Linked DNA regions of Diceros bicornis minor. The protein of the gene in region 2 interacts with the protein of the main gene of each other region in a biochemical or structural test. Links are inferred from orthologs where the notes say so. Each region holds a gene or a part of one and is shown on either strand. Other genes may lie near its edges. The genes, in order: RGS20 and GNAZ.

What was found.
Region 1: the proteins of GNAZ (region 2) and RGS20 form a complex in vitro, tested with the Homo sapiens proteins (2 studies listed by BioGRID, with this or other methods). The link is inferred for Diceros bicornis minor from reciprocal best matches to the Homo sapiens genes GNAZ and RGS20.

Annotation. Positions count from the first base shown.
Region 1 is NC_080772.1:7,745,818-7,753,196, reverse strand, and holds the start of RGS20 (regulator of G-protein signaling 20), read right to left. Parts: upstream 3,126-7,379; coding exon 2,967-3,125; coding exon of another isoform or gene 2,961-2,966; intron 1-2,960. UniProt on the Homo sapiens protein: Inhibits signal transduction by increasing the GTPase activity of G protein alpha subunits thereby driving them into their inactive GDP-bound form.
Region 2 is NC_080774.1:29,399,200-29,406,404, forward strand, and holds the start of GNAZ (guanine nucleotide-binding protein G(z) subunit alpha), read right to left. Parts: upstream 3,148-7,205; 5' UTR 2,991-3,147; intron 1-2,990. Other genes in the region: RSPH14 (radial spoke head 14 homolog), read left to right, coding at 3,718-3,742. UniProt on the Homo sapiens protein: Guanine nucleotide-binding proteins (G proteins) are involved as modulators or transducers in various transmembrane signaling systems.

The DNA.
Region 1 (7,379 bases), on a different chromosome or scaffold from region 2:
TGGGTTGGTTCTAGTTTTTTTTTTTTTTTTTTTTAATTTTTAATTTTTCCCCTAAAGCCCCAGGCGATAGTTGTATGTCACAGTTGCACATTCTTCTAGTTGCTGTATGTGGGACGCGGCCTCAGGATGGCCGGAGAAGCAGTGCGTCTGTGCGCGCCCGGGATCCGAACCCGGGCAGCCTGCATCGGAGCGCACGCACTTAACCGCTAAGCCACGGGGCCGGCCCTGGGTTGGTTCTAGTTTTTGGCTGTTATGAATAAAGCTGCTATGAACATTACCATATGCAGTGTGCGTGAACATAGGTTTTCATTTCTCTGGGATAAATGCCCAATAGTGAAATTGCTGGGCCATATGATAGTTGCATGTTTAGTTTTATAAGAAACTGCCAAATTGTTTCCAGACTGGCTGTACCATTTTGCATTCCTACCAGCAATGTATGAGTGATCTAGTTTCTCTACATCCTTGTCACCATTTTGTTTTGTCACTGTTTTTCACTTTAGCCATTCTGATAGGTGTGTAGTGATATTTCATCGTGGTTTTAATTTGCATTTCCCTAATGGCTAACGATGTTGACTATCTTTTCATGTGTTTGTTTGCCAGCTGTATGTGCTCTGTGATGAAATGTCTGTTCATGTCTTTTGCCCATATTTTTATTTGGATTGTTTGGCTTTTTACTCTTGACTTTTGAGAGTTCTTTATATATTCTAGATACAAAGCCTTTGTCAGATATGGGGTTTGCAAGTGTTTTTTCAAAGTCTGTATCTTGTCTTTTTATCCTCTTAAATAGGGTCTTTGGCAGAGCAAAAGTTTTTATTTTTGATGAGGCCCAATTTATCAATTTTTCCTTTAGGGATTATGCTTTTGATGTTTGAGAACTCTGCCTTGACTTACGTCGCAAAGATTTTCTATCATTTTTTTCTAGCAGTTTTATAGTTCTACATATTGTTGTACATTTAAGGCCATGATCCATTTTGGTTTAATATTTTATGTGGTGTTAGGCTTAGGTTGTGAGGATCTTGGAGGGTTGTAACACGGGCCTTGGATGTCTAGACACATTTTAGCCCATGTTCTCCCTGTCTACTTCTCTACATTCCTCCATTCCTATTTCATGTCTACCTTAAATTTCACCTCTTTCACATTTTCATTAGGCCTTTTTCAGTTGTTTTACTTCATATTGATTATATTCCATCCCTAGTTTCTTACTGCCTTACTGATTGAATTACATTGACATGAGTCATGCCAATAATATGATAATATGATATGATGATAATATGTTGATATGTTTGTCTTTCCCAATATATCGTGAGTCTGTAGAGAGAGAGGAGCATATCTTTCTCTTTCTCAAAATCTAGCTCAAGGCTTTGGGGATAGCAAGGACTCAAGGACATTTGTAGAATTAAAATGAACTGAGTTCTGCCATTCATATACTTGCTATAAGAGGGACATGTGCATCTATATTCAGATGCAATATAGGAAGATTTTTTAAAAAGGCAAAACTGAGTGGAGAGGCCAGTAGCATCCCAGCTGGATCTCTCCTGACTGCCCACGCCCGCTGCTGCACAGGCTGGAGCTGGTGTACTTGGGTTAATGAGGTCAGGATGGCAGCTTGGATCGCCTGGCGCCCGCAGTGCAGTTGATTCCAGGACGCTATGGAAAGGTACTGCTGATTCTTAAATACCTTTCCAATTCATTTGCCTATGGTTCTGCTTAAAGCATACCCTCAAGACAGTTTGACTTTGAAATTATACGTGTGTGTCCATATATTATACATATTTACACACACACACAACATATGTATATTGTTGTTGCTGTCTGTTTCCTCAGAGGAGCCTCCAAACTCTACCTTCTAGAAATCTCTTTTGCACGTGTCGCCTAGATTTAGATTCCCATTAATTAAGGACTTCTGGCCACGATATCCCATTTCATTCTAGTTTCCTAAAGACCTAGTGCTTAGGTGATAATAGGGAGTGTGGAAATTCATGTATTATTTGTTCACAGATCTCTGAAAGCTTAGAAACAAAGGTGAATACATTTCTACAGAAAAAGCTTCCTAATGACTTTTTTTAAAACTTTTTTTCTCCTATGCCAATTGATTAAAATAACATCAGGAAAGGGGCAGATCCAGAGAATTAAATAGAAAGTCTCCAAATAAATGATGATTATTATCAGGATATGAGCTGTGGCACAGGGACAGATGAATTTTCTAGTGTTTCAGCAGTTGGATGGGTTTGCTGTAGTATGATTTTGCAGCATTTAATTCTAAGCTCTGCTCATTATTTGTTAGACATTAACACATGCCTGTCCCCCTCCACACCAAATAACCTTTAAGAGATGGTTCTATTAATAGTTAAGAGGATTTACAGACTTAAACTGTACTTTCTGCAAAGATACACACAACACTGAGCAGGAAAATTGTCACTCTTTGGGAAAATAATATTATCTAGCGGTGGAAATTCATGCTTAGGAAATCTACCTTAGGAAACCATGAATTTAGGAAAAACACCCCTTGAGCTCAATGTTCTTATGTTTCTGTATTCATTTATCAATTTTTTTCTCTACCAATTTTTATAAAAAGCAGTCTATAATTTTTCTTTCATTATTATATGGGATATAATCTTTATATCAGAGAAAAACATTCAACGGTTACTAGCAATTGCCACAAAAATCTATGTCTAGGTCGTCTGCTTTTTAAAACACTACCCCCTGAAACAAACAAAAATAATTCAATAGTCATTTGTATTGGTAAAGAGAAGCTTTATAGGTTGGAGAAAGCTAGACAGATCAGGTAATTATCATCAAGGTTCTAGTTTTTCTCTTGGCGTTGGTTTGAAAACATTTTTGAGATATCGTCACTGAGATAAAGTGAGCAATGGCACTAAAGCTTGCTTATGGTTTATATTCGTTCTGCATAAGCCCTTTCCTTGTCAAGAAAGGATCATGGATTGTGGAGATTGTCTTACCTGGACATCATGCCCAGCCTTGGTCCCACCTTCATTTTCCATGGCTTGCTGAATGTTTGCATTATATCCCTCAGCCTGAGGCAGGGGCAGAAATTGCTTCCACATAGATGGCCTGGAGAAATGTTTCTGGAGGCACTCTTGGTTCTCTTGGGAAAGCTGGGGCATAATAAGGGCTCCGAATAAGTCCTGTGGCCTGATTTTAACACTGGCTCCGGGTCCACTCTATTTCTCTTCTTTTGGCTGATGCTGGGCCATCTCTCAGTCTGCTGAGGGCCTCCCTGGAAAGTTACACCAATGGAAGCAAAAGAATTATCTATTTTCTGGATCAGCAGCTTATCCGCAGATCCTTAGTGTTCTATTCCAGGTAGAGCCTCCTATTCTGATTGTCTGGGTGTATTATGACTGCCCTCTACAGGTAGAAATGTATTCCTAATTCTAATCCTAAATCAAAACTGAAAGAAATGATGTATTGTCTAGTCTATAATGATAAAGGAAATAGATTGTTCTGCAAAATTCTGTATTACTAGTTGTGTGATAGGGAATAGTGCTTGACAATCTTGGGCTATGCAATCAAGAGGCAGATGGTCCCCCTAATCTGTCTAGGTTTCTTAAGAGGTCACTTTAATAACAGTCAGCTTCATAGCTATAAACGTATGCTAAACTCGTACCCAAACTTAAGCCCAAGAATTATTACACTTTCTATTTATGCCACGTAGAGTGAATTAAAGTGATTTTCTTATGAGAAAATATTACAAATCTTATGCACGTAATAAATGACTTGTACCCGGAATATATGAAGAGCTCTTACAACTGAAAATGAAAAAAACCCAACTAAAAATGAGTGAGGTGTCTAAATAGGTATTTCTCCAAAGGAGATATACAAATGGCCAATAAACCCCTGGAAAGATGCTCAACATTGTTAGCCATTAGGGAAAGGCAAGTCAAAATCACAATGGGATACCACTTCACACCTGGTAGGTTGGCTTTACTCAAAAAGACAGTCAATAACATGTGTTAGTGAGTATGTGGAGAAATTGGGACTCTCATACAAAGCTGGTGGGAATGTAAAATGTGGCAACCAGTTTGGAAAACAGTTTGGCAGTTCCTTAGAATGTTTAACATAGAGTTACCACATGATCCAGCAATTCCCTCTTAGATATCTACCAAAGCAAGAGAAGTGAAACACGTGAGCACAAAAAGACTTGCACACAAATGTCCAATAATTGGAAAAAACCCACATTCCCATCAAACGGTGAATAGATAGACAAAGGGAGGTATGTCCATCCAATGGAATACTATTCAGCAATAAAATGGAATGAAATTCTGACATATGCTACCACATGGATGAACCTTGAAAACTCTATGCTAAGTGAGAGAAGCCAGGCACAAAAGTCCACAAAAGTTGACACTTGAGTCGACAAAAGTCGAACTCACTCAAGGCTCACTTACATAGTTGTTGCCAGGATTGAAAAGCTATTGGACTAAGGATGTCAATTCCTTGCTGGTTGTTGACTGGAGGCAGCCCTCAGCTCCTGCCATGTTGGCCTCTCCTTGGAGCAGCTCACAACTTGGCAGCCTGCTTCATCACAGTGAACAAGTGAGAGAACCTGAGAGAATGCAAGCAAGACAGAAGTCACAGTCTTTTGTAACCTGATCTCGGAAGTGACATCCCTTTTGCCGTATTCTGTTCCTTAGAAGAAAGTCAGTAGGTCTAGCCCACATTCAAGGAGAGAGGATTTGGTAAGGGCATGAATTATTGGCAGGTGGGGATCATTAAGAGCCATTTTAGAAGCTGTCTACTACAGTGGCCATATTTTTAAATTTTCAGATTGTGGGAGATTGTCCTTATGGCACCAATGGTGCAGTGTAATACAATGAACTTACCTGGAAAATCCTGAAGCTTGGTTGCCATAAGAACTTAGGGCACTGGTACAGTGCGTGAGTGAAATCTTGTGTGATTGCTGTTAGACCTGCTTTGGCAATACCAGTGCAGTCAGAAGCTGTTAGGATAGTTGGTTAGAGTACTTTGTAAAAGCATCATGGTGTCAATACTTAGAGTTACTGTTAGGCCAAAGTAGGTCAGTTTCTTGCAAAAGCCTATTGTATGAAAGAGAATGGAAAAACTGTTCTTTCATTAAACTAATAATTTATTCAATGAGCTGCAAAAGCTTCTTAAAGTCCTTGTACAACTGAAGGTAGGCTGGTAGCATAATCTTCACTAGGAGGCAGTATGTTTTTCATGATAAATCATCTTTTTAGAATAGGATTTCCTTTGACTAGAACTCCTCTATTTCTATGGGCAAATGTAAGTTCAATTCACAGTTGGGAAGAAAATATTGGAAATGATGATGTTTGTAACATTTCATATATTTCAAACTTAAGAAATTCCTTTGAAATTTCATAATTTTTCCACCTCTGATCACTTCTAGGTGGTATATTTTCTCCAAACATATAATATGACCCTATTCTAGTGAAAAAATTGTTAAAGATATGGGCTATTGACTTAATTTGATGAATACATTAATTATTACTATTATTTTTCTCCTGTCAATACAGTTTTATCTTATTTCCCTTATGTCATTTGTAAGTAGTAAATCTGGAGCTCAATTATGAAGAAATTACGAAACAGCTCAGAGGATACCTTGCATATGCTATAACATGTAATTATGCCAGCTGAGGTCACCGATAGACGTGTTGAAGAGATCAGGTAAGGGAAACAGCAGCAGGGACCACCTGCCTCTTCTCTTCTCCCTAGTTCCAGATAGATATCTGGTAACACCATGATGCTTGAAGAAAGCCATCCCAGCTGACCGGTGTAGCAGCCCGTTCTGCTCACTGCCTTGTTCCTGATTTTGTTCCACACCCCTCTGAAAAGAGGAGTTCTTTCTGGAACCTGATGAGACCTGCCGCATAATGACAGGTCTGCGGCTGGGGAGGTACAGGCAAGATGATGTGCAGAGCAGACCTGATCACCAGCTTTGCTTGGTTATGCAGAGAAACATGCTCTGCATTTTACTTCTCATGAAGTAAACTATTTCATGTTAAAAATGACAACATTTTCAAGTGGGTTAAGAGTAGAAAGAAGGAAAGGGACTCATTCAGAATCTAAGAATCAATCTTTCTCCCTTTTGCCTGGAATGCCCTTTGCCTGTTTCCTAATGTGCCTGCCTTGCTTAGGACTAGTGCAAGTGTCAGTCCTTAAATGGAGCCCCCTGACCTCCCCCTTCTCTCAGTGAGCAGCAGTATCAGCTTCCTCTTCCAGGTGCACAGAGTAGTTCTAGATGCATCCCTGCTACTGCGCTTGCTGAAATTATCTGACTATATCTGTGCTCCTCAACTTGACTCTGAACAACTCCAAAGAAACCTCAAAGAAAATTGGAGAGACTGTCAAACTTCGGATACTCAATAAATGTGTCTCCAACTGAATGAGAAAGAGAGGGATTAAGTATGCTTGCTCTCGCATTTTGTACCTGTTCACAGGAGTTTTAGTCTCTCTCTGTTGTCAATGATGTTTATTCATACTTTGTTCTGGTGGTGTGATTAAGTGGCTTCATTTATATTGTGTAATAGTCTGCTCGGGCTGCCGTAACAAAATACCATAGACTGTGTGGGTTAACCAACAGAAATTTATTTTCTCACAGTCCTGGAGGCTAACAGTCTGAGGACGGGGTGCCAGCATGGTCAGGTTCTGGTGAGAGCTCTCTTCCCGGCTTGCAGACAGCCACCTTCTTGCTGTATTCTTGCATGGCTTTTCCTCAGTGCTTGTGCATGTTGAGAGAGAGGGCTCCCTCTCTGGTGTCTCTTCTTACAAGGGCACTAATCCTGAGGGCCCACCCTCATGACCTCATCTAACCCTAATTACCTTCTAAAGGCCCAATTTCCAACTACCATCACACTTGGGTTTAGGGCTTCAATACATGTATTTTGAGAGCAACACAAACATTCAGATCATAGTGTTAAAAGATAAACTGAGGCACATTAAAAATTTCAAGAGTTTATTTGAGCAAACATCAATTTGAATTGGACAGCACCAAACTGAAAGTGCTCCATTAACAGGAGCTCAGGAAAAAGCTTTTATAGAGCTGATGTGGAAGCAAAGCAAGGAAATTATTTGATTGGCTATAGCTTAAGCAGTTACCTAATTTGGGAAAGGTTAGTTGGCTGTTTGTGATTGTTTTAGTTTCATTTTCTAGGATATAAGTGCATTTCAGGAATTGACCCTGGGTTACATAGGCGACCAAGGCATTAGAGCCATCTCAGTTTAATGGCCTCCTTAATGACTTTAACAATTTCCCCATTTGGCCATCCTCTCACACATGAGCGATTGACCAAAAATTTGGCACTAGTGCCACTCTCAGTCACCATCAGGGTTACGTTGTTCTTGTCTCACTGTGAAACTCACAGGTCATGATGTCAGGT
Region 2 (7,205 bases):
CTGCCACGTCCTCCAGGATCCATCAGATAGTCCCTGTGAATTAGTCCTGTCAGCTCACTAGGTGCCTCCCCCACCAGCATGGATATGTGGACGGGGCCAAATGTGTGGTGAGGACCCACAAGCGGACCAGGCAGGGCAGTCTTGGCTCTGTTTACGGATGAGGACGAGGAGGCCCAGAGAGGACGGGGCTGGGCCAGGGAGTGGCAGGGCCTGGGCCTGACCCAAGTCTTCTGATGCCTGGACTGGAGCTCTCCCCTCTCCTCCGTGGGGAGTCTGGGCCCTCCACACCCCTCCCCAGTCTGCAGGAGCTATGTCAGCCACCGCTCTGGGCTCCTGCCTGGGCTGATCCTCCGTGTCTGCCCTGCTGCCTCTGTCCATTCCCTCTGCCCTCCTTCCTGCCAACAGCGCTTGCAACCCGGCCCTGGAGGCTCTGTGACCCCAGGTTTCCTTCCTGGGGGCTGCAGGGGAGCAGTGTGCTAATCTGCCTCTTCCAGAGTTCCTGCAAGCCCAGCCACAGTCAGCGGCAGCGAGAATGCCCTAGAGCCGCAAAGCCTTCAGGTCTTCTGACGGATAGCAGGGGATAGTCCAGGGCTGCCTCGTCCTCATGTCCTTGGAAGGAAGGCGTGGCACACACTGTCATCGTGTGTGCACGTGAGACAACCACTTGGCTAGGTCGAGGCCACGGAGGCCACACCCTGAGTCTGAAGCCATCCATCCCACCAGCCTCTCTGCAGGGGCCCTGGGCAGCCTTGCCAAGTCTGCCTGGTTAGCCAAAAGTTCCTGGAATCGCCCTAGAAGCTCCTGAGGGCCAGACCAATGCACTTTTCCTCCTAGGACTCCAGGAAACAGAAGAGCTGAGAAGCTGGGGTCAGAAGGAGGAATTCATCCCCTGTGTCCCAAATCTAGAGCCCCACGGCAGGCCCCTGGAGCAGGGCCAGGCGACAAGCACAAGAGTGAAGCAGCTCCATCCTGCTCGGCGTGGACTGCACCCCCATGAGGGCAGGCGGGCGGCCCTGCTCTCGCTGCAGCAACCTGGGCCTCAGCCAGAAGCCGAAAGTGGGTGTGTGTTCGGGGACGGGGCAGGGAGGGGGCATGCCACACAGATGAGTAACAAACAGCCCCTTCAAAAACATCCCCAGGAGCAAGCAAGCAAGCACATCTAGAGTAGAAGGTGACACCGGCTTATTCACCTCCTGTCTCAGAAAATCAACGTCTGTGCGAGGAACACACAAGACGAGTGTTAAACCAAACGCCAATGTCTCACCGTCCCTGGAGCACGAGGAACGCTGGAGGCACAGCACTTCATCCACACGCAGCCAGGCCCTCGCACCATCAGCCCCCACACGGAGACTCCCAGGCCTCCACGGTTACTGCTGGAAAACGTCCACCCCACCAAGGGACAGAGTCATCAGCTAAACATCGTCCTCCATCCTGGCTAGGAAGGAGGCTGGGTGGTTGGTTACCCAGTACCCCTGGCCCTGTCCCCAGGGACTACCTGGAGGAGCAGTCCTAGGCTGCAAGGAGCCCTCCCAGGTCTCTGAAGCTCTTCCCCAGGCCCACCCCAGGTCACAGAGCTGCTCCCTTTTACAGATGAGGAGATTGCAGCCTCTAGTGAAACAGCCACAGCTAACAAAAAATGGGTGGTTTGGTTTCCCCAGCTCCCTCATCCTCTGCCGCACCCACCCACCTTTCCCGCCATGCCTCCTATGCTCTTAAGTAGACCCCACGCTCCTGCCAGACCCAACTGCCCTAGTGCCCTCTCTGTGCCTCACTCCATTTTCTCCCCTCTGCCCGCAACGCCCACCCCAACTGTGCCCGTGTCCTTCAAGCTCCAGTTCAAATGCCACTTTGCCCACAGGCCCCAGCCCAGGTCACCTCTCTGAGGTCCCTCCCGAGGCCCCTGCACCCACACTCAGGGTTTGGTTATCTGAGCAGAGGTTTCTCCCCTGGAGGGTGGTGACTCAGTCCCCAGAGGGCAGGCCCAGTCCACTCCCACCCCAGCGCCAGGCCCTGGGGGAGCGAGCGCTCAGTAAATATTTGCTTAATCGAATTTGGCCCAGGAGCCTCCTCCAGACAGAGCGGAAGGCAGCGGGACTCGGTCCCCAGGGCAGGGAAATCACTTGGCTGCCTCCCTAAGCCGGGCAGAGCTCGCCTACCAGGCGGGTCCCTCCATGCTAAGACGCTGGACTCCAGGGAGCCCTGTGTCGGCACCGCCTTCCATCCTCTTCTCTCTGGTAGCAGAGCACCCCAATTCGGGGCCTAGGCGGATTCCTGCCGTCATCGCCCAGAGAGGCTCAGCACCGCCCTGACGGCAGAGCCCCCTCGGATCTCCCGCAGGATACGGAGCCCCGGCCCCGAGGCCCTCACACCCCTCCCCCCAACCTCCCCCACCGCCTTTTAAGGGAAAAAAAATATTGAGCCGGGAACATATCACAATCGCAGCGGGTCGATACTCATCTCTTGTTCTAAATGCCTCCAAGGAACCTGCTCGCTGCAAGAGCGATGACCGAAAACTGCGAGCCGTCCGTCTACGGGCCCAAGCCTCCGGAGCCCTCGCCTCCGTTTTAGCCAAAGCCCCGCGTCGGCGCCCCCGCTGTCCAGGTCGCCTCCTTCCCGCTCCCCCGGGAGGGAGACCCCGCCTCGGGGCCCTCCCGCAGCTCGCCCGGCCCGGCCCGGCCCGGCTCCGCACCAGCAGCTCCTCTGGCCCCTGCCCACCCTCCCGGCCTGCGGCCGCCCCCTCCCGCCGACTCCTCCGCCCGGCGGCGCCCCCCGCCAGCACCTGCCGGGCCGCGGCCGCCCCCTGCCCACCTCGCGGGCGTGCCTGCCCTCACCGCCCCCACCCCGGCCAGGCATCGCTGCCGCTGAGCCCGGGCGGATCCCTGGCACAAAGGCCCGGGCGGGGCCCGGTGGGGGTGGGGTGGGCGCCCCGCCCGCGCCCCGGGTCCCCGGAGGCTCGGCCGCGCGCCCTGGCCGCAGGTCCGCTCACTCACCTCCGGGCCGCGGCGCGGTGCTCCGGCCGAGCTGCTCCAGGCGGGAGGGGCGAGGCGGCGGGCGCGGGCCCAGGAGCCCTCGTTCCGCACGACGCGGGCGGCGGCGCCCGCGCGGGGACGTGACCGGACCGCGGGCGGCGCACACGCTCCGGCCGGCCTGCCTCCGCCCGCTCTCCCGCGTCGCCCGCCGCCCGCCCGCGGGTCCGCCCGCCCCGCGCCGCGCGGCCGCCGGCAGGGGGCGGAGCCGCGAGCGCAGCGCGTTGCCAGGCCAACCGCGGGCGGGGGTGCCGCGCGCCTGCCGGTGACCACGCGCCGGGCGCCACCGCCCCGCCACGAGCGCCGGCTCGCCGCCCATTGGGCACGAGTGGCTGACGGACGCGCCCGCGTCCAATAGCGACGGGCAGGGGCGGGGCCGCGGCTCCGCTCTCACCGCAGTCCCGCGCGCGCTGCCCGCGCCGGCGTCCCCGGAACCCGGCTGCGCCCCGGCCAGGGTGCCGGCCCTGCGAGACCGCCTTTTGCAGGCTGGGAGACCGAGCCTGAGATCGGCGGATGCCCCGGCCCCTGCTTGCCCCTGTCCCCGTCCGAATTCGAACCCAGCTCGGCTGTTTCTGAACTCCGCGACCTTGGGCAACCGACTGACCTCTCTGAGCCTGTTTTGCAAAGTGGGGCTGGTGGCACCTGCTTCCCTGAATTGTCGCGACAATCCACTAGAACGTGTGAAAGGGCTATGCAACCTCTAAAGGTTTACACCGGTGAGGTTTGTGCGGTGATGGGAGGGGACGTTAATCATCTTCGTTGCTCAAGCCCCAGCCTGTAGGGGCTCTTCAGAGTCCCTGGCAATCCTGGCCACGGATGTTTGCCTTGGAAGGAGGGGAGGGAGAAGGGCCCGGGGGCTGTCACCCAGACCAGAGAGGCGGGAGGGAGCCAGCTCGGTTAAGGCCAGGATCCCATAGGTGCCTTGGGGAAGCTCATAGAAGGCATCGGATGCTCAGCAAAAGGCACCTGAGGGCAGTCTGGCAAATTCTGCTTTCAGTTTCAGGGGGAGCCCACCTGTGGGCCTCAGAGCCACTAGCCGCTCACTCCTATACTTAAAGGAGTCAGTCCAGAGAGCCAGACATTAATGCCACTCGCTGTCTTTTGCATGGTTGTAACCTGAAGCGTTGTGCATCCTGGAGCATCCCAGCAAAATACAGGTGTTCCTGGCCCACACCTTCCTTATCACTTTACACCGTCGTGGTCCTGTTACAAGGATCACTCCACTCGTGGGCAGAAGCACTGGAACTGTCCATTGGCAGAGGTAGATGGAGTGGTGGCCCCAGCTCAGATCTGTGGTCACAAGGCAGGAGCGGGGGTCCGGCTCTGCCAGCTGGACGCTGTGACATGTCGTCATCCCATAACCTCTCTGGGAATGTTTCCTCTGCTGTGAAATGGAGGCCACTGTGCTACATACCCCCCACCTGGGAAGGTGCTGCCTAAACTGTCAGGGACAGGAAGGATGCTGGGGATGGGCATCTTGAGGTGAGCCTAGACTTAGACCTGGTACAGTGCTCTCTGGAAGTGGCCAACAGTTGAGGGGCTCCCCGGTGTAAATGCCCTCCAAGCCACCAGGCTGGGTTAGGCTGGATGTCTGCCGGGAGGACCACACAGAGGCAACAGCTGTGATACCAGGAAGATGAGGAGCACAGGCCCTGCCCTGCGGTGGGTCAGAGGCGAGAGGTGGCTGGGGGTGAAGCACAGGCCCAGCTCTGCTGCCATCACCTGTATACGCTTGGGTGACTTATTTCACCTGGCTGAGCCTCAGTTTCCTCTTCTGTCAAAAGGGGATGATAATAGACTGTCCCTCGAGGGTGATTCTGAGTGGAAATGCACCTTGACACACGTTCAGAGACGGGCGAGGGCAGTTCCTGCTGCAGGACTAGGGGTCAGAATTGAGCTGTTTGCAGGGGCAAAATAGGTGCAAACATGGGCTGACCCCTACAGCAGTCCAGGTGTGAGATCAGAGGCTAGCTCATGGAGGGGCCCAATGGGGCTGGCTGCTGCCCCCTTACCAGACCTTGGTGGCCACCTTAAAGTGACAGGTCACCTGGCGTCAACCATTGGTTGTAGTCCTTCACACAACAATCATTTACTGACGGCCTTCTCTGTGCTGGGCACAGTGCTAGGATTTAGACAGACTCAACCCTGCCTGCTAGACCCTCCTGTCTGAGGGGCAGGGCAGACGGCAGGCCAATATTCCACCATTACAGTTGTGTGAGCCCTGATGGAGGAGACTGGCCAGGACTCTGGGGTACGTGGCAGGGGGAGAACTGGGCACTGGGACAGCGGGAAGGAGGTGGCCCATGACTTGAGGCAGGAGAGAAGCGCATTCCAAGGTGGGGAAGGCGCTGGACGTGAAGGAGCATGAGGCCTGGAAGAACCCAGAGAAGACCAGCATGGCTTGAGCCAGCGAGCAGGCGAGGAGGACAAAACGCGATGCTGAGGTGGGGCTGCGAACAGTCACCTCGGGCAGCTGGCCCTCGTGTAGTACTGGGGACGTTGGCCTAAGAACCACTGGAGAGTTTAAGATTAGGTTTTTACACTTGAGAAGGACGGCAAGTCGTTTCATATTTCTGTTGGCATGGTCCCACAGTGCGGTGTCCTAGTATGCAGAATCAAATAACAAAAACGTCAACTAGTCAGCCAGAGAAAAGGAGCCAGCAGAGAAGGCGGTCCATGAGGCCGAGTTCAGCATAGGGCCGTGGGATCACCGGGCAACCGTGTGTGTCAGGAGACGGCTGGGTGGCACTGGGCTGGCCCTGGCAAAGGGGGAAGAGTGGGGACCAAGGAGGGGGCCCACGTGAGAGGAGACACTGGAGGAAGGGATGGCACTTGCTAAGCAGATGGAGGAGCGGTTGGAGAGGTGACCAGGAAACCAGGGAGTGGAGGGTTCCAGAGCCACGGGAAGAGAGTGTCTCTAGAAGGAAGACACAGTCAGCCATGTCACGCACTATTGGGAGGCCGAGTAAGATGAGGACAGAGAAGTGTCCCCTGGAGCAAAGGCAGGCACGGGGGAGGGGTCAGTGTGCCAGGAATTCAGGGCATGGGGACCACACGAGGCTAAAGCTGAACAGGTGGGTCACAATAAGGTGCAGTGGGCCCAGGGCGCCCGGCGTGGGTACGTAGTCCCCAGGGCTGGGGCCAGTGCTCTGTCCTCCGCCCTTACTGGCCAGGAGAACAGGGCCGGGAGACAAGAGCTGGGGGTCTGTGGTAGAAAGAGGAAGGGGCCCTGCTGATTGAACTCACCTGGCACCTCACCAACCCAGCAGAGACAGCTGGCCAAGGAGTGGCCCCTTGGGGTAGTGTTGACCCCACCCCCAGCAAATGACCAAACCTCAGCCACAGGGCATTCCATGCCATGGGCATCGTCACCCCTCAAATCCAGCAGAGCTTCCTGGCTCATCATCCAACTCATCCTGGCACACCAGCCACGCTGGATCACTGGATTGAGGGCCCTCCCCAAACATCCCCGTGCCTCATGCCTCTGCCCCTCTGCCCCATGCGGACCAGCTCCCCTGGGCCTCCCTTCTTGCACATCCGGAGCCCCAAGGACCCTGGAATTCCTCATCTACACATGTCAACCTGTGCTGGAATGACCAGTCCCCACTGACCCTCCCACTTGTCTCTTCACTCCCCCAGGGTGGGGGTGGTGGTGTCTCGCTCATCTCTGGACCTCTGGAAGGGTTCGCTCCTGGCTGACTCTCCTCTGTGCGCCACCTCTCCCGCTCCCTCAACCCAACCCCTACCGACCGATTCTCAGGCTGTGGCCGGGCTGTGGGTTTCTCTGGTTTGTTTCCTTGGGGTCTGTGCGCACTGCCCCCATTGCCCCCCACTTGAACAAGCCATTCAGATCTGGGTTAGTTATAAATAGCCGGGCCTGCAAATCTCCTTTTAGCTGAAAAGAAGCAAAATGAACGAGCAGAGAGGCACACCCGGCACGCGTTTTATTTTTAATTCTCTCCCTCTGTCTCAAAATGAACCCATGTCCTGGTGCTCAGCATTTCTAGGAGCAGAGGCCCAAGACAAATGCCTTGCAAACAGAACCTGGGGAGCTGAGGGCCCTGGCATTGCGCCCGTCTGCTGTGTGGCCTTGGGCACTTGAGTAGCCGTATCCTTTTCAAGGGGGAGAGCAGTGGAGGCCATCACCTCCAACACTTGGACTTTTCTGACTTGACTCCC